Notamacropus eugenii: one gene and its partner. The protein of the gene in region 1 interacts with the protein of each later gene in a biochemical or structural test. Links are inferred from orthologs where the notes say so. Each region holds a gene or a part of one and is shown on either strand. Other genes may lie near its edges.

Evidence for each region.
Region 2: the proteins of TNFRSF8 (region 1) and TNFSF8 form a complex in vitro, tested with the Homo sapiens proteins (2 studies listed by BioGRID and IntAct). The link is inferred for Notamacropus eugenii from reciprocal best matches to the Homo sapiens genes TNFRSF8 and TNFSF8.

The regions. Positions count from the first base shown.
Region 1 is NC_092876.1:51,537,714-51,547,514, reverse strand, and holds the start of TNFRSF8 (tumor necrosis factor receptor superfamily member 8), read right to left. Parts: upstream 4,623-9,801; 5' UTR 4,240-4,622; coding exon 4,177-4,239; intron 1-4,176. UniProt on the Homo sapiens protein: Receptor for TNFSF8/CD30L. May play a role in the regulation of cellular growth and transformation of activated lymphoblasts. Regulates gene expression through activation of NF-kappa-B.
Region 2 is NC_092872.1:434,232,154-434,241,918, reverse strand, and holds the start of TNFSF8 (tumor necrosis factor ligand superfamily member 8), read left to right. Parts: upstream 1-5,202; 5' UTR 5,203-5,420; coding exon 5,421-5,558; intron 5,559-9,765.

The DNA of each region.
Region 1 (9,801 bases):
ACCATTCTTTCACATGAAAATAACTGCCTTCTCCTTCTGGAGTTACTTCTTCTCCAGTATGTCTCTCCCCAGTTCCTTTAACCAATCATCACTGGGCATGGACTGGGGGCCCCTTGCCATCTGGCTTATCCTTCTCTGGACACTCTGCAGTTTATCTGGGTCCCTCCTAAACTGTACCAGAACTGAATGTAACACTCAAGATGCTGTCTGACCTGGGGTGAATCCATGTGGTCTCAATTCCTGGAAACTAAGCCTTTCTCAATGTAACCCAAGATTACAAAAGCTCTTTTTTTTTTTTTTTTTTTTTGGCCACTATCACTTTTCACCTACCCATAGAGGACTTGAGAATTCAGGAAGACCTGAATTAAAATCGAGCTGCTGGCACTAACCAGCTATGTGACCTGTGGGCAAGTCATTTAACCTGTCTGAGCTTCAGTTCCTCCATCCTGTAAGATGCAGATAGCACTACTTCACAGGGTGGGTTGTAAGGCTCACATGTAGTCATGTATGGAAAATACTTTCCAAGCTTTAAGAGATATGAATACCTGCTATAACTATTCCCTCTTATCTCTCAGCCATCTGACTTTTTTCCCCAAGGTTACTCTTGGCACATTGAAATCCAACACCTCTGAGATCCCCCTCCCCCATCCCTGACCTTGACACCTGCTGACCTCTCTCATCAGTGTTCTTTCCCCCATTAGAATCTTATACTCAGGGATCATCATCCTTTTCCTTTTGTATTCCCAGAGCTCAACACAGTGCAAGCATTCAGTAAATTTTGTCATCATTCATTCATTCATTCATTCATGCACCCTAGGAAGGCTCTCTCAACCCCAGATATCCCATCTGTCTCCAACAGCTCTACTACTTGAAATTCATGAGCTTATAGATTAGATCTTGAAAGAGTTTTAACAGACTGTCTATTCATAGTAGGATCTTTGATCTAGAACTGTAAGGGATTTAAGACACAAAACTCATCCAACTCCTTCATTTTACAGTTGGGGAAACTGAGGTGCAGTGGATAAGTGACTTGCCCTCAGTCATTGAGGGAGTAAATGGTGGAGCCCAGCTTTGAACCACAAATTCTAAAGCCTGTGTTCTTTCTACTGTTACCACACTGCCCACATGTTCCGTTTCCGTTATAAAAAGCTGATTGAGAGCAGACACTCCTTTCCCTCCTACTCTTTCTTTGTCTCAGACCCTCCTTTGACCTGGATGTCCTTCTAGAGAAGACAGCACATTGTTTGGGTCACATTCTAAAGCAGATAGAACAGTAAAATGGTCCTCGGATCATATCTTCCTTCTTCTGTTCACTACCTGTGCAATGTTGGATAAGTCACCAACCTCCTGGACCTCAATCTCCTTGTCTGAAGAATAAAGGGGTTGGACCCAGTGATCTTCGAAGCCCCTTCTAATTTTAAATCTTGAAGCCTACTGTATTGATCTGGGTATGTCAGATAAAATCCCAGGATCAGAGAATTTCAGAGATGATGGCACTGCAGGAACCATTGAGTACACCTCATACCCCAAAAAGAATCCCCTCTTGAGCATACTCCACAGCAGGTCATCTGGCTTTGGTTTGAATACCAAAGTGGAGGAGTGGAGGATCTCACCTTCTCTCTAAACAGCCCATTCCACTCAGCTCTTTGTTCATTAAGCTCCTCTTGATGTGGAGCCTAAATCTGTCTCTCTGTAACTTCCTCTATAATCCCACTGGATCTGCCTTCTGGGGTCAAACCAAGTAAATCTAACTGTTCTTGCACATGACAATCTTACAAGTATATGAAAACAACTGCCATCTCCTTCTGGAGCTATCTCTTCTCCAATCTAACTCTCTCCAGCTCCTTTAACCAATCCTCACTGGGAATGAATTGGGGCCCCCTTGCTTGTCCTTCTCTGGACACTCTCTACTTTATCCAGGTCCCTCCTAAACTGTGCAAGAACTGAACATAATACTCAAGGTGCTGTCTGTCCTGGGCTGAGTCCATGTGGTTCCAATTTCTGGAAACTAAGCCTTTCTCAATATGACCCAAGATTACAGTAGCTTTTCTTGGCCACCATTACTTCTGATCCACCCCTAGAAAACTATAAATTACTTGAGAGCAGGGATCATTATTTTTCCTCATAGTGTTGTGTTTCCTCATGCCTTATAGAGAGAAGTCAAAATTTTGCTAAAAACAACCTGCAGTTCTTGGCCCTGGGGAATCACAGAGCTGTGGGAAGCCAGTACCTCTCAAAGTCATAAAATAAGCTAACAGTTCAGCAAACCCCAATTCTTAAGCCTACAACTTCTGGTTTATGCTCAAGTTCAGAACTTGGTGGTGGAGGAGTGGGGGCAGGGGGTGCTGTTAAAAGCCCTAAAGGGTAATGGGATGGGCTAAGCAATTACTTACTGGAAGGCAAGGGGTCCCAGCTCCAGAAGAGTTCAGGACTACATGGGGTTGTCTGCAGGGTTCATACTTGGTCACCCCTCGAGTTTATCTTTAGTGATACCCCTGGTTCTTTTTCACCTTCACCTTCCACCTCACCTACTCCTTCTTCACTCAAGAGCCATCCCTCAACTGACTATTGTGCTATATAGAAATAAGGAATGAAGCAAGTGGAGAGAAACTCAGAGGCAGAGATAAAATGTCCTCTGGTGGGCTCCTGCCGGAAATCAAAAACTTCTCTGAAAACAACCTACTTGGAAAGAACGAACTTACAGGTCATCTAATCCAACCCTGGAAGGCAGTTGTTATATTAGACAAAGCTGGAACTTGAGTTCAAATGCTGCCAATGTGATCTTGGACAAGTCACTTAATCTAAGCCTCAGTTTCCTTATCTGTAAAATGAGATGACCTGTAAGGTTCTTTGGTCCTAATCCATGAAACCTGGGCTCTGAGCCCTCATCTCACACTCACACATGTAATTTACACATACGCGATTGTGTGTGACACACAACTGACACCAGGTCCTTGTGCATCTGTTGCAGGAATAGAAAAATCTCTTGGCCACATGTCTTTCTCAAAGCCAGTACAACCTGACGTGATGGGGATTAGATGTGGCGGTTTAGTTCAAGTCTCAGGCTTGGAAGACCGTGGATGCTTTGACCATTTGTATGTAATTGTACTTTGTACATTAGCAGGCGGAATGATCTGGCTATTACTGGAATTCCAGAAAGGAAACAGAAGCCCCGAGGTACTAAGTAACTTATCGTGGTCACATACTAATACGCAGGGCAGAGATTTGAGCTCAAGCTCTCCGACTCTAAAGTCAGTGCTTTCCACCACAAGTACTTCCTTAAGATTTGCCACATGTCTTCACAACGGTCCCGTCAGGGAGTCAGTGCCAAGTAATATCATCCCCATTTTATAGAAAAGGGTAAGATGTAACTTGAGCAAGGACAAAACATCATAGATTCAGAACTGGAAGATTATTTGGTCCAACCACCCCTCCTCCATTTTTCAAATCAGGAAACTGAGACCTAGAGAGAGATTCAGGGACTTTTCCAAAGTCACAGCAGTCATAAATGGAAAAGACAGGATTCCAGTGCAGGTCCTGTGAAATCAAGGTTAGGATTCTTTACACTCAACTATGCAAAGGGGTCAAGCCAGAATTCAGAGCCTGGCTAGGTTCACAGAGAGATTAAGCGATCAGGCCAAAGTTAGTAGGTAGCAGAGTCGGAATTCGAACTCGGGTCCTGAGTCTCTTTTCACTAACCCCACTCTTATCAGCCCCGTGACCAAGGCAGGCAGAGATTATTAACCCCATTTTATGAATCAGGAAACTGAGGGGAAGACCTACGGAACTGGACTCCTGAGTGCTGTGGTTACTGAACATAGATAAGTAACCTTGAGAACCCGGGACCAATGTCGGGTAGCTCAGCTGTCTCATGCTCTCCAGTGCCGAGGCTGCTTCTCTATCCAGAATCCCCCACTCTCTGCTACTGTTGCCTCACAGGGTAGGAGAAAATTAAGATACCCAAAATTCACGCACATGTTCGGGTAAATGACAGTAACCAGATTCGAACCCCAGCCTACCGACCCTGTTAAACACACTTTCTACCACACCACGCTGTCTCAGTCCACAGCAGCACTCTGGAGCCAGAGTAAGGGGACGGGGAAGGAAGCTTGGCCAGTGCGGCCCAACCAGTCCTGCATGTCCCAGGATCTCCGGGGAGAATCAGCACTGACTTACCTGCGGGAGGGCCCCGACCACTCCAAGGAGCAGCAGCCCCAGGGCAGCGCTCCGTCTAGTCATGGTCTGCCCAGCTAGAACGTCACCAAGGAGGAGGAGGAGGAGAAGGAGGAGAAAAAGGAGTTGGGGCGATCGAGCCTGGACTCCCCGACAGCCTGACGCGTCCGCGAGCGAGCACGAGGGGAGCCCTTTCAGCCACCCGCCGGGGGACCCTGAGCTATACACCAATTGAATGGAGCTAGCGGGCGGCGGGCGGGCGCACACGCGAAGCCCAAGTCCAGGTGCTGTGCGCGCTGCAGCCCCGGAGCGCTCTGCTCAGCTGTGCTCCGCCCCTCCCGGGGTATCCGCTTGAGGCTGCTGCCTGCTGGCCAGCCTAGCCCCAGCCGCGACCCCAGCCACAGCTCTGAGCCAGGCAGCCACCAGGCGGGAAGCCGCCACGGACTTGCAAACCAAGGCACGGTTTCCCGGCACTGCGTGGGGCCCAGCGCGGGGCTGTTCAGTAACTTCGAAAGAGCCCTCCTCTCGGTTGGGCGCGGATTGTCCCTCCCCTCCCTTTTCCCCCAACCGCCACCCCCCCCCCTCTTCCCCCATCCTTCGCACCTTTGGACCAAAAGAGATTGGGGAAGGATAAGATTTCGTTGGGTTTCCAGGAACTGGGAGACTTGGAAAGACGTAAGAGAGAGACCCTAAGTGAAGGAGTGATTCTGTTTACCAGTTCACCCGTAATTCTGAGGGACTGGAGCCTCAGGGCTGCTTTCAGTCTGATTAATAGGATCACAGTGTTAGAGCTGGAAAAGAGGTGCCCTGGTATTATTGATAATCGCGTTATTACTATGGTTGACCCGTGCCTTCTGGGAAAATAACAGTGCCCAGCCCGACCTCATTTAACTCAGGCATAAGAAGGCCGGTTTCTGGTTTTTGTTTTTGTTTTTTTTTTTCTGTAAAAGATCTTAGAGGTAACCTAGTTCCTCATTTTGTAAATGAGGAAACTAGGGTCAATTCAACTGACCTGGGTTCAAGGCTCGTCCACGCACCTAGCCTCTGTGTAACCTTGGGCAAACCATCTCAACTTGTCAATCATCTAAAGCATGAAAAGGATTGGACTACTTGGTCTCTGAGGTCCACGGTTAAGTTAAAATCTATGATCCCCTGGCATTAAGTCGTAAAACCCAAATCCAAACTCAGGTCCTCTAACTCTAGAATAGCAGGGTCTTATCCTCTTTCTTTGTAACCTCAGTCCTTAGCTCAGTTCCTGGCACATTGGCAGTCTATTCAGAACACCGAAAGCTGCTTTTCTAGGTTTACTCTGAGCCAACCACGTTGTCTGGCCACGTCTCTCTGGGGCCAGAGATCTCTCTAGGGGTTAGGAGAGTGACGTCTAGCCAAAGGAAGTGGTTCAAGCATTCCCATTGCAAGAGGGAGGACACAGAGGGTTGGGAGAGCTCAGGGAAACAGCCCAGATAATCCTGTCAGGCAGGGTCTGCTCAACGGAGTGAAGTACTTGCCTGTCACAGCTGTTCCCAAGCTCTAGTCCTCAAGACACATTGACAATGGCTAAGATATGAAAGACCAGTATACCACAAGTAACGACAGTTTTTCCTCAATAGCACTAAGATGGTATACAAGAGTGAGCTGTTGCTAGCAACATCTCCCATTTATATAGGCTCCCCTCCATGCCAGCCTTATAAGGTAGGTTATTATAGGTATTACAGTCCTTATTTTACAGATCAAGAAACTGAGGCTCAGATGTGAGGAACAACTCTTACATTCACATAGTGAGTGATAGAGGCTGGACTTGAATTTGTCTCCTTAGAGAGAGAATTTTGCAGTGGAAATAGCTTGGTATAGAGTCATAGAACCATGTTCAAATCTTGTCTCTACCATTTACTATATGACCTTGGGCAAGTCATTTAACTTCTCAGGGCCTCAGTCTCTTCATCTATAAAATGAAAAGAGATGACTAAATGGTTCCTAAAGTCCCTTTCAGCTCTAAATCTATGACCCTATGACAAAGTCTGGAGAGTCAGCATCGTATAGTCAAATGGATAAGAGGAAAGTTCTGGATTTAAGTTCTATATCCTAACTGTGTGACCAGAGGAAAATCATTTAACCTATGCAAGCCCTAGTTTTTTCATTCATAAAATGGAAATAATATTTACCATGGATGGTTGTTGTGAGACTCGGATAATACATCATACTTGTTAAAATGACTCTGGCATCAGAGCACTCTCTTCCAAAACCTTCCTCTAAAACTTCATAGATTTATGAGCTTGAATGAGTCACTTAATTTCCTTGTACCTCAATTTCTAAAATGGGTTCTATGGTCCCTTCCAGCTCTAAATCTATATTCTCATTAAAGCCCTAGGTGAATATCAGCTAATAATAGTGATGACGGTGGTGATGGTAGTGGTGATGATGGCAGTGATGGTAGTGGTGAAGGTAGAGATGGTGGGTGTAAAGGTGGTGAAGGTGGTAAAGGTAGCAATGTTGATGGTGGTGGTGGTGGGGATGGTAGTGAAGGTGGTGACTGATGATGGTGATAGTGGTGAAGGTGATGATGGTGGTAAAGGTGGTAATGGAGATGATAGTGGTGGTTATGGTGTTATAATAGTGGTGAATATGGTGATGGTGGTGGTGGTGGTGATGGTACTTAGTCATCTGGAGGTCTGGGGTTGAATGTGACAAAATATTTGATGATCAATCAGTCAAACAGCATCTATCTAGTTAGTTGCTAATTACCTGAATGTATAATAATATAATATTCATACATATGTACTTCTCTTGACACTAGACTGACTCAGGTGAAATGACACTGAGTGGTTTCCCCATCTGAAGCTGGTTCTGTGCCAAACACACGTATTTTATTTCTCTTTTTGCTGGTCTAATTTCCTGGTTTTTAAGAATGGATGTTACTCCAAGGAAATGTAGCTCTAAAAGAGAGCATTTCAATAACTGTTCAAGGCATCGCAGTTGTTGCTCATCCTTCACTCTCAGAGGACCAAAGGACATCAGGAGGGTAATGTCTCAACTTGCAAGTAAATTAGATTTAAGTGCAGCAGAGCTGTGCAAAGTCATCAGCCTCACTCTCTCATCCAGAGTCAGAGACCTTGGTCTTTTAAAGCGAAGGTCTTTTCCAGGTCTCAGTTTGTCTGAGTCAACACCCATTCAGTAATTTAAGGCTAGGTAAGAATTAAGGCAAACGATGGCCTGACTTGCCTTCACGAAACAATTGATTTGGGAGGAGAAGATCCTCAGAGTTTCTAGCTGAAACATAAACAATTTCTATTTATACTCAGTCTGAGCCATCAAAACCCAAACAGTGAGCAAGTGAGGTTTGATACATAGAGAAGTAGAGCTGTTCTGGAATTACAAAAATTCCCAAATGGAGATGGAATTCTGCCATTTTGAACCATGTCACACACATGGCCAAAGATTAAAAAATTTATCCAGTATTTCAGTGGCCTGGGAACTTGATATAAGCAAAGCTAGACTTGGAAAAATGAATGCTTATCGAAAGTACACATAGCACCTTGTGTGATCTGTGGTTTCATGAAGAAGAATTAAAGAATATATGTCAATATTTGATGAACTCAATTCAAAATCAAGTAAAATAAGTGATTAAGGCAAAATGAGAATGTATTTCATATTAAAAGTCTTATTAAACGTAAAAAGCTGTAAAATCTATTGCATAAGTCAATAAATGTATTTTATTTTGACACATAGAACCCACACACTCCTGCATAATGTGTCTAGTCCTGTGCAAGGCAGAAGAGTATGAAGAACTTTTTCCGTTAAGGAGTTTAACCTCAGCTTTTGGGTTGAGATGAAAGAATAGACCCTTTTCCCCCATCCTCATTACCTCTTAAGCCTCTCCAACCTCTCCAAAATGTATGCAAAAGATAAAGCAATTGAGGTTGTCTCCCAAGTCCAAGACACCAAGAAACTGAATGAGGTAACAACTCAGTGAATAGTAGACAAAAGCTAATTCCTCATCCCTGATAAATTTATTTAACTCCCATTCTCCCACTGGCCACCACGCTCTGGCAAGGTAGCACAAGTTGGCCCACAGGCTTCCAACAAAACTCCGTTCTATGCCTTACCTCCCTGTGATGTGGAAAATCAAAAGTCAGAAATTGACTTTGGCTGGGATGGCAGCCTATCACTCAATGCTCATTCAGAAAACTAAGGAAAAGAGGGACCTGGGGCAAATCTGGAGACCCAGTCACAAGGACTGAAAAAGGGGCAGACTGGTCTCCAGAGGTGTCTGGTTCTATCCCTCTAAAGGTCACTTGGAGGCCAGCAAAGCATGAATTAGCCAATATGAAAGAAAGCAGAGACAGCTTGAAGATCCAGATCCCAGGGAAGACACCATCAAAGAAGGAGTCAGAAAGTGAACAGTAATGGGATATAAGAGAAAAGGATTTGAATTACCAAAGATCTCAGAAGGTAGGAAATTCAATGAAGGATCTTGAGCATATGCAGATAAATTAATAAGAAAAATATTAATAAGAGAAGAGAATATGGCCCCTATATCATTTAAATGAGTCCGGACATCTATTAATAAATATTTCAGAACAAAGAAAAATAAATCAATAAATAATAATAATAAATAATAATAAATCAATATCTGATGATGCAGAGGATGCTATGGATTCCCAAGAAAACTTGGAGCCTCAATAGGGTATTCCCAAATAATTTCAGAGAAAATGAGAATTATGAAAGCAGAATTTATGGCCTGCTCATCAGAATAATTGGCAGAATAGAAAAATTTGAATGCCAAACCTCACCAAAGAGGAAGCAACTGATTGGCAATTCAAATACACAGAAGTAAAGAACTCTGGAAAGAAAGGAGACAAAAAGCGAGAATGTTAAAAGAAAGTGATGTCTATACAAGCAAAATACATTGATTTCAAGGATAGAATACATGCATACAACATCAAAATTATAGGTTTCCCAAAAGAATACGAGTAGAAAAAAACTGAACATAATAATTCAAGAAATAATACAAGAAAATTGGCCAGAGCTTTTGAATTAAAAAAAAAAAAGCGTCAAGTGAAAGAATCCACAGATCACCTCCAGGAAAAAAAAAACCAGAACACCTATGCTACAAACTCCATGACACATGATAGCAAAAGTTTAGCAATTCCAATAACAAAAAAAATCTACAAACGACCAGGAGAAATATCTTCAAATATGACTGAAAGGAAATTCAAATAATATAAGACTATTCTGTATCCCCTAGAAACCACAAAACAGAATGGAATAATGTATTCCAAAGAGCAAAAAGGATGCTCTTTAAGATACATAGTGACACACTCTGCAAACTTTAGCCTAACATTAATGAAAAAAAATGGAAATATAATTTTAAAAGAGGTACTTGAACCATTCCTACAAAACAAACAAAAACAAACCTAAAGAGATGATTTACTTTGCAAACACCCAATTCAGACAACAGAAATACAAGAAAAGTAAACAAATGCAGCACCTAGAAAAAGGAAAGAGATTGGCATTTATATCGTATCTACTGTGTGCCAGACAGTGAACTAAGTGATTTTTATAAATGTTATCTCATTTTATGCTGGTAAGTAGGTCCTATTAACCACATTTTGCAATTGAGAAAACTGA
Region 2 (9,765 bases), on another chromosome or scaffold:
TGGGAAGGGGGTGTCTCAGAGGACTCTGTCCTGGGGTCTCTTTTCTTCTTCCTTTAGGTTATTTCACTTGATAATCTCATCAGTTCCCATGGATTCAATTTTTATCTCTAAACAAATCATTCTCAAATCTACTTATCTAGCCCTACCCTCTCTTCTGACCTTCAGTCTCATATCTCCAGCTGCCTATTAGACATCTCAAATTGGATGTCCTATGTACATCTTAAACTCAACATGACCAAAACAGAATTCTTTATCTTTTCCCTAAAAATCCTCCCTTCTTCCTAATTTCTCTATTGAGGACACAGTTAACCTGCCAGGCTCACAACCTAGTATTATTCTCAATTTTTCACTCTTTTTTGCCTCCCATATCCAATCATTTGCCATTTATATTTGTTTCTGGCTGTGCAACATCTTTCTTATATAATTATCCCTTCCACACTTGAGGGGTTAGGGGTATGGTGCCCTCGTGACCTAGAAAATCTTCATAAAAATTTTTTACCCTCCTTTGTTCCATAGAAGAAATCTGAAATTTTTTCTTTCTCTGTTATGGGTATTTATGGTACTTCATTGTAAAACTAGAGTTAAGCATTTGGTCATAGACTCTGTGTTGTCTGCTGGCCTTTGTGTGTCATCTGTGGCTTCCACTAAACTCCTGCCAAATTCCCAAATTCCCATTTAATTTCATATGATATGTTGAAATCATGGCAGGGCAAGTAGTGATATGGAAGAGATAATTATATACTTCTCTCCTCTGATATGATTTATTGCCTCGTTGCTCATTTCATCATTCCTGGACTATGGTGATACCCTTCTGACTGATCTTCCTGCCTCCATCTTTCACAGTCCTCCGCTTAGTTATCAAATTGATCTTCCTAACGCTCAAATCTGACCATGTCACCTACCTCTCTTCCAATTCAATAAACTCCAATGACTGGAACTCTCTTTTTCTCTCCACCTCCTAGACTCCCTGACATCCTTCAAATCTCAGGTAAAGTCCTATTTCTGCAAGGTCCTTTTAATTCTTGTTAATTTTGAAGTCTTCCCTCTGGTATTATCTCCAGTTTATCCTGTATATAGTTCATTCGTACATAGTTTTCTGAATGTTGTACTCCCATTAGACTGTGGACACTTTGAAAGTCAGGACTATTTTTTTGCCGTTTTTGTATCAGCAGGGCTTAGCACAGTGACTGGCACATGGTAAATGCTTGTTGACTAGACTTAGCCAGGTTATTATTATTAATGATAATACTTTATTATTGTAGATTTACCCATTGAATAAACATTTATTAAATATCTACTATGTACAGAGCACTGTACTATGTGCTCACTTACTGTTAGTTCTGTATAAGCAGATAGAAAGTTTAGGTACAATGTACTCCCTATCCTGACTTCATAGAATCTACAGCACACAAGGAGATAAGATGCATACACAGACAACTGTCATACAAACAATTAGAGGGAACAGGTCCAAGAGAGGTACAAGGTACCATGTGAGATTTGAGGGGAAGGGTCATGACAGAGGAGGGGATCCAGAATCAGAGTAAACTTCATGAAGAATGTGGCATTTCAGTTATTCTCTTTTTACTTTTTGGTTCAGTCATTTCAGTCATGTCCAACTCTTGGTGACCCCATTTGGGGTTTTCTTGCCAATGATACTGGAGTGGTTTGTCATTTCCTTCTCCAGTTGATTTTACAGATGAGGAAAATGAGGCAAACAAGGTCCCAGGGTCACACAGCTAGTAAATGTTATAAGTCAGATTTAAACTCAGGAAGACAAGTCTTCTGGACTCTAGGTCCAGCACTATATGCATCGCACAATCTAGCTGCCCTAGAGTTAGCCTCTACAAGAGAGAAATGAATTCACCAGGTAAAGGGGAAAAGAAAGGCTATTCCTAACACAGAGAACAATGCAAGCTAAGTCAGAATGAAACATTTGCATGGGAAACAAAGAATCAAGGACACTGAATGACTCAGTCCTGAGAGATTAAGCTAATTTCTTTCTTTCTAAAGAGAAGCAAGGCAGTATACTGGAAAGAGCCCCTTGCCTTACAGTCAGAACCCCTGGCCTCAAGTTCCAGCTCTGGTAGCAGCAGGCTGAGATACCATGCTGTCCTGGAAAGAGGGCTAGGCCTAGAGTCAGGAGGGGCCTGGGTTCAAATCCTGAGTCTAACACTTCCCATTTGTGAAACCTCGGCCATGTCACTTATACAGAGCTTCAGCTTCTTCATCTATAAAATGAGAATAATAACACTTCTAATATTTACTGTCCAGGATTGTTGTGAAGAAAGTGTTTTGCCAAACTTAAAGCACTGTGTAAGTGTGTACTGGTATTCTTATTAGCCATGGCAAAGCCTATGGATGACTCTGAGACTGATTTTTCATCTTTCAAAGAGACATAAGAATGTTTGCTTTCTGGACTTCACAGGGCTATCGTAAAGAAGATTCTCATTCTCTCTCTGTGTCTCTCTCTCCCCTCATGTCTGTATGCATATATACGTACATGTGTACATACATGTATATATTGTATTTATCCCTCTGTGTGTAGATATATGTGTGCATATACATATATATATACATATATTTATGTATATAAGTTTTTAATTTGGAGGCAACTGGGGTTAAGTGAGCTGCCCAGGGTCACACAGCTAGTAAATGTCTGAGGCCAGATTTGAACTCAAGTCCTTCTGACCCCAGGACTAGTGCTCTACGGTACCACCTAGCTATTCCAATATTCTGAATATTTTAAAGTGCTATAGAAATGTGAGAGTCAGAATGGCATCATGGAATGCCTACCTCCATATCAAAAAGTTCCAGATAAAAGTCCAGCCTCTGACACATGACTCTATGATCCTGAGCAAATCAATTAACCTCTCACTGCCTGTAGATGCCTCTGTAAGACTTGAAGTTATAGAGAAAGGGTCTGTCTGAGAAGAGCTCCTTACACCAAGGGAATTACAGCCCCAGTCCAAAATTAAAGTAAAGGGAATGTAAACTATTAGCTAAGCTGGGCTTCAGCCGCTGGGTAGACCCTGGGAAAGCCATGGGATCCGAAGGTATTCTCCAAATAAAATCACTTGGAGTGGAATGGGAAGGGTTCAATAAAGAGACAAGATGCCACATTTGAAACCAACTAGCAGATAAGAATTCTGATTCTAAATGCAATTCTAGAAAAAAAACTCAGAGTCTCAGTTGAACGGTTCAGAGAAAATCCAAAACCAAATGTCCAAATATGCCCTAGATAAACCTGTCTACCTGACCTAAAATTTAATTCCAGAAAAAAATTATTCCATGTATATTTGAATCTTGGCAATGAAGTGTGGGAAAATGCAGTTCCAAAGCTCAAATAATGCTACTTTAATTGCTGCAGTTTATTTTTAAAGTATTTGGATAACTTAGTATAGTGAATATGTCAAATAACCCCTTTTGCCAACATCAGGAAGTAAGGAAGGAATACAAGCAAAAAACTTTTAGAACAGTCTGAGGTGGGCAAAGGTATGTTCTCAGTGAGGCATTCAACAGTCATGTATCAACTCCACGTAAGTATTAGGTGTTCTTAGCCTGAGGTCCATGAATTTAGGTTGTTTTTTTTAAGTGTTTGACAATTGTATTTCAATATAATTGGTTTGCTTTGTAATCCTATGTGATTTGTTTCATGCATTTAAAAAAATATTATTGTGAGAAAGGGTCCATAGTCTTCACCAGAATGCCAAAGAGGGAGGTACAGAACACAAAAAAGGTTAATAGTCCCTCCATTACAGCTGAGGAAATCATTCTTCACCCAGAAGACTATTTGGGATGTTTCCAGATTATCTGGTGAAAGCACATTAATTGTTTAAAACTCAGGACCTGTTTTCCATGAAGGTAAAATAGGTGATTAGAACATATGTGGCCTTCTTTTTCAGTCATGTTACTCCTTTGACATGCCAGTGTAGCCAGCACCAAATGATTTCCATAGACCTTGTTTAGTATAGAAAATGTGACAGTACTGCTGCTTAATCTGGTTGACAGCAGACTCAATAACGTCAGATACATTGTTCAGGTGATTTTTTCTGTCAACCAGTTTATTGGTCAATAGTATCTGTTGAGACAATGTTCTCCAATAGCATATTTAACCTAACCCTTGAGATATATTTATTAGAACTTTTTCATAGAACTTCAAAACCAGAATGGATCTTAGATACCTCTTAATCTAATCCCCTCATTTTTATAAGTAGGGAAACTAAGTCCCAGAGAAGGAAAGGGATTGATTCATAGTGAATTGGTGACTGAGCCAGACCTCAGTCCAGTAACCTTCCTATCCTTCCAAAAGTCTCAGAAGGATTTTGTCTATTTATTTCATAGCTTTGAAGCTGAAAAGGACCTTAGAGAATAGTTAGTCAACCCTTCTAGTTTTTTAGCTGAAGATCCCAAGGCTCAGAGAGGTTCAGTGATTTACCCAAGATCACACAGATACCAAAGTAATAGAGGTGGGACTAAAATACAGGTCCTCTCACTCCAGATACAAGACTTTTTCCCACTACTCCAATATGCTTTTAAAGAGAGAGACCCTACAAAAATATGGATAGCTATATGCATACAGATATAGAGTTATAGTCATATACAGAGGGATAGATAACTATATACATAGACATAGATAGATAGATGGATAGATAGATAGATAGAGGGAGAGAGACAGAGAGAGATGCCCATTTTTAATGAGAGATGTCCATTTTTAACCTAACCACAGGTATTAATATTAGTAAAACTAATTCTTTTGAATTATAGGATAACAAAATTTATATCTAAAAGGAACATTAGAGACCATCTAATTCTATCCCATCATTTTACAGGTAAGGAAACTGAGGCCCAGCAAGGGGAAATAACCTTTCCACTGTGAAATCCAGTCTTCCTGACCCCCAAACAGATGTGGGCTTTATGGGTAGGTAACACTTTTAAGTGGAGAGCACCGTGCAGAAATGACTGTCTGGAAGAAGAAAGCATTAGCTGAAGTACTCAGCTGCCACCGCTGGTGACTATAAGTGAAACACAAGTCAGTGCACACAACTTCACACACAAAGGGAGCTGGGGGTGAGCTTGCTTCCCACTTGTCTTCTGACATCAGACCCCTTCAATGTAGCTCACCAGACGACCAGCAACAAAATCCTTGGCAAGAAAATGAATCTCTTTCTCCCATTGCCTGCTGTCTTTCACTTCACGCCCCCAGAGAAGTCTTTCTTCATCCGACAAACAGTGAAGATTTTTTTCCAGGTCACATGATCCAGGATGAAGGGGGAAAATCCTATTTGGAACAGAGATGGCCTGTGAGTCTCAACAGATCAAGGGCGATAAGGTGTGAGGTGGAGGGCGGTGGTATATAAAGAAAGTCCTCTGTACCACGGCAAACGTCCCTCCACCAACTGAATGCTTCTCTTGAGGCAGCCATGAATGTGTCTGAAGGCACAGTCACAAGCCAGCTCAGGGCCACTAGCCGGACTTATTTTTATTTCACCACAGCTGCCCTGGTTCTGTGTCTCATCTTTACTCTGGCAACTATAATGGTCTTAGTAGTTCAGAAGAAGGTAAGTCAATGGCATCCTCTCCCCCTTCTTGTCTTAATTTTTGTTTTGTTTTGTTGTTTTTTGTTCTTCCTGGAGGTATTCTTTGAAAAACCCAATAAATTATTTGAGAGAAACAGTAACAACTCAGAGAGAAAAGAGGAAGCAGATTCTGGCTAAATCATTCGTTTGGCAGGGGCACACTTTTTCGGGTAGTTCCTCAAAAATTTCAGAGAGTTAAGGGAGAGGAGCCCACAGAACAGACAACAAGTTCATGGTGGAAGTGAGGTTGTAAGTCAGCTTTTTAAAAAAGGTCCAGACATAGAGGAATGGAAGGAAGCAATGAGTGCAGTCAACGTGATATCGTAAACATACACTTCTCTTCTATTCCAAAGACTTGACCCTCAAGTGCAAATTAAGACCCATTTAAATGTTTCAAATGTTAAATCCAAAAGTTGATTCCTCTCTAAGGAGGTAAGCCAAGAATTAATTGTCAGGGCAAAATTGCTAATTACTCCCATTTCTTTGTTATGTTAAGGTATTTTTTTCACAATAACTCTATGAGAGAGGCAATGCAGATATTAGGGGTTTTCCTCCAAATTATTGATGGGAACCTGAAAGACTGAGAAATTAGATGCCCACGGTCACATTAGTAGAGAAGACAGGCAATGATGTCCCTGAGAGTTGAAGTGGACGAAAGGCTTTACATGGATGTTTCAATGCTGGACCCTTCTAGAGTGAAAAGGGCTATCTGGAAGGTTTGCTTTGAGGTCCATTCTTGAAAGCTCCCCTGTCATATCTACTACACCCAGGACACCACCCTCCAAAAAAGAGAAAAGTGTTTCTCAGCACCAAAGTAGGTGGAACGTTCCCTCAAGCCTTCCTCAAAATATTCTAATTTTCAATGGTGGTAGTGGAAGGTGTACTATGTACTAGTACCAGTACCATGAACTTTGAGGGCTCCAATGACTTTTCCATGACGACCTTAGTTTTTCTCTACTTAGAACGGAGTCAGAAAAACTATTAAAATATAGTATGTTTGAACCTCGAAATAGTCAGACTGGAAAAGACTTTAAAGATTATCTGGTTCAATCTCCTCATTTTACAAATTGGGAAACCAAAGGTCAGATACTATAAGCAACTTGCCCAATACCAAATCATTTATTCATGTGAAAGCCAGAATTATAACCAGGATCTCCAGACTCCTGTACAGAGTTGTTCTTATTTCATTTCAGTTGAAGGTACTGAGACTCTCACACTTAGCATCTAGGTAAGCATAGACAAATTATTTAATCTCTTGGAGCCCCAGTCTTCTCATTTATAAAATGGGTATTACAGACTCTCAAAATGTGAAAAGACTTTAGGGGTCATCAGTCCCATGTATATTTAGGGAGAAATTTTCTCTAGGGAGAAGAAATATTTGCCTTACCTACCTCACAGGGCTTTGAGGAAAGCGCTTTTTAAACCCTAGGATGCTACATAATTGTGGTCTTCTACTACCACCACAAATACTATTATTATTGTGGAATCATGAAATCCACAAGTATTTAATAAGCTTCTACTATATATCAGAGCACACTGTGCTAGTAAGTGAAATAAAAAGGTAAGAGTTAAACAGTCCTTGTTCTAGAGAAATTTATAATCTAGTAGGAAAAGATAACATATATGTACATAGCTATGTACAAAGAGTGATTTTGGGGGAGGGCACTAACCACTAAAGTGGGAGACAAAAGTTATTAACAACAGAGGAAAAATCAGAAGGAAAAAGTTATGAACTATGAGTCCAAAGCACAATTCTTGTAAAGGAATCTTCCAAACTAAATTTCGTTACTGTTGATAAAACTAAAATCAAAGCAAACTACAGCATGGTCATCATAATGCAATCCAGAGCTCATTATTTTAGAATGCTATTGAGGTGATTCTGAGTTTCATGAAATGTTCTGGTTTTACTGAGTAGCACATGATATACAAGTAGCCAGACATTTCATGGTCCTTCAGGACAAAGGACTGAAAGTTTCTTAAAAATCAGCTGTCTGTGGCCACACCTCATTGTCAGTTTTTGAAAGTCAGGAGCCCAAACTAGATGTGAAAACACATTTCAATAATTGATTTTAATATACCTGGCTTGGTTAAAGGTGATGGCCAATCCCAAATAAAGTTAGACTCCAATCTGTAAGGAAATGACACATTAGTTTTACTTTTAAAGCAGCTTTCTTTGGATTGAGGCTTTCAAAATACTCTAATTATATAGGTTATTGATCACTTGTGGAATAATTAATTAATGTCTATCCTCACATATCAATGGCTATCACAAGAAAATTGAAGTAGTCTTTTTTTCATAGTTTACACGCAACATCATAGGCAGTAATATTTTACTAATGGACCCAGATATTATATCATAATAACAATGTAAATAACCAGGCAGTTGTTGAGAGAGAACTTTTAGCTGGGAATATATTCATCCAAATGGGACAATGCCCTCAAATATCCTAACATGACTTCCGTTCTGAGTCATTGTCACTATGTGTATGTATACACATACATATAAATGCACATGTATATATATGTATACATATATGTATAAAGCTCATCTAATAAAATCAAAGAGGAAGATGGAGATCAATCAGGCAATACAGAGCCAAAAATAATTCCGAAAAATATTCTTGGCATAGGGCTCAAGTTGGTAGGAACCTTAGAGCTGAAAAGACACATTAGAACATACAATGTAAGAATATAGAATGTTGGAAATGGAAGGAACACTAAAATGTAGAACTTTAGAGCTGGAAAGGAGCTTAGAATATAGAATATTAGAGATGGAAGGGACTTTAGAACATGGAATGTTCAGCTGGAAAGCAATCTTAAAGATCCCACTTGGTAATTTTATAGATGGAACTGGGGCTCAGGGGACAAAACAACATTTTGAGGTAGAAGCAGGACTACACCCTAGGTCACCTAATCTAGCATAGTACTCTTTCTATCCTATTATGAATTCTCATTCAATACCATTGTAAACGTTTGTTCTTCTATTTGCTTCAACAGAGAAATGTTTGGGCATTTATTGAGTATGGTTGTCTTATTTCCTAACAAGCAAAGTAGTAGAAATATCCTTAAATCAAACCTTGTGCCCTCTCTTCCATAAGCTGACTTTTCTAGTTGGAAGTATAAATGGATTAGAAAAACTGATTACATGACTGGGGACATTTTTATTTCTTTCCCAGAGAAGTTTCACCTGCTTAGGCTGAAAGACTCTTAGATGGACAATGTGCCAGACTTGAAAGGTTCATTCAAGTGCTTATAGACTAACTGAAAAAAATAAGTCACATACATGCCTAACAATATAGATCATCTATATAGGTAACAATGCCTTCAGTAATGTATGAAGGGAGTCAAATTCACAACATCAATTTCTTGAGGGGTTCAGAGTAGGAAGAAATCTGCAATATGAACTAGAGAGGTCAGGAAAAGCTATATAGAGTAATTAAAACTTGAAATGGTAGTATTTGAATAAACTTTTCCAAAAAATATAGTCATGAATAATTGGGTAATTGGCCAATGGTGTACTCATTAAATAATGTATTAGTGTATGTATTCAGGACAAGGGAGAGAACACCTATAATAAAAGCAATGTATAGAAGAGATTTTCTGAAAATAAACTGGACCTATAGTGAGAAAATCTATTGTATTATATTCTTGCTCTTGGGGAAGAGGCTTAGACAGAAGGAAAACTATCCAGGTGGACATTTTACTTTGACCATAGGGACTGGTGGAAGTGAGCGATATGATCCCTTCAATGAACCTACCACTGAATCTACGTTAAGAGCAGACCTACCCTCTGCTATGTAGATAGTGAATGCAACCCATCCTCAGTCCAAGTTGATGTTCCCATTAAACAATGCAACATTGATGAGGAATGGTCTTCATGAATCAGAACCCAAAAGCTGCTCAACGTGTCCTGAGTTTCTATCAACAGCACTTCTTCTCTTATTCACAGACAGGGGTGGATAGGGGGACATATGATGGGAAAAGACTACTCATTTTCAAAAAGTATGACTATTTGCAAGAGAACAAGAGGGGAGGAGAGTGGGGAAAGAGAGATGAGGGCACAAGAGAGAGACAGAGATAGAGAGACAGAGACAAAGGAGACAAAGACTGAGACCCAAGCAAATAGGGAAAGGATGAGAGAGACAGAGATATTGGCCCAGAGAAAAAGAAAGCTTTAAACAGAAAGTCT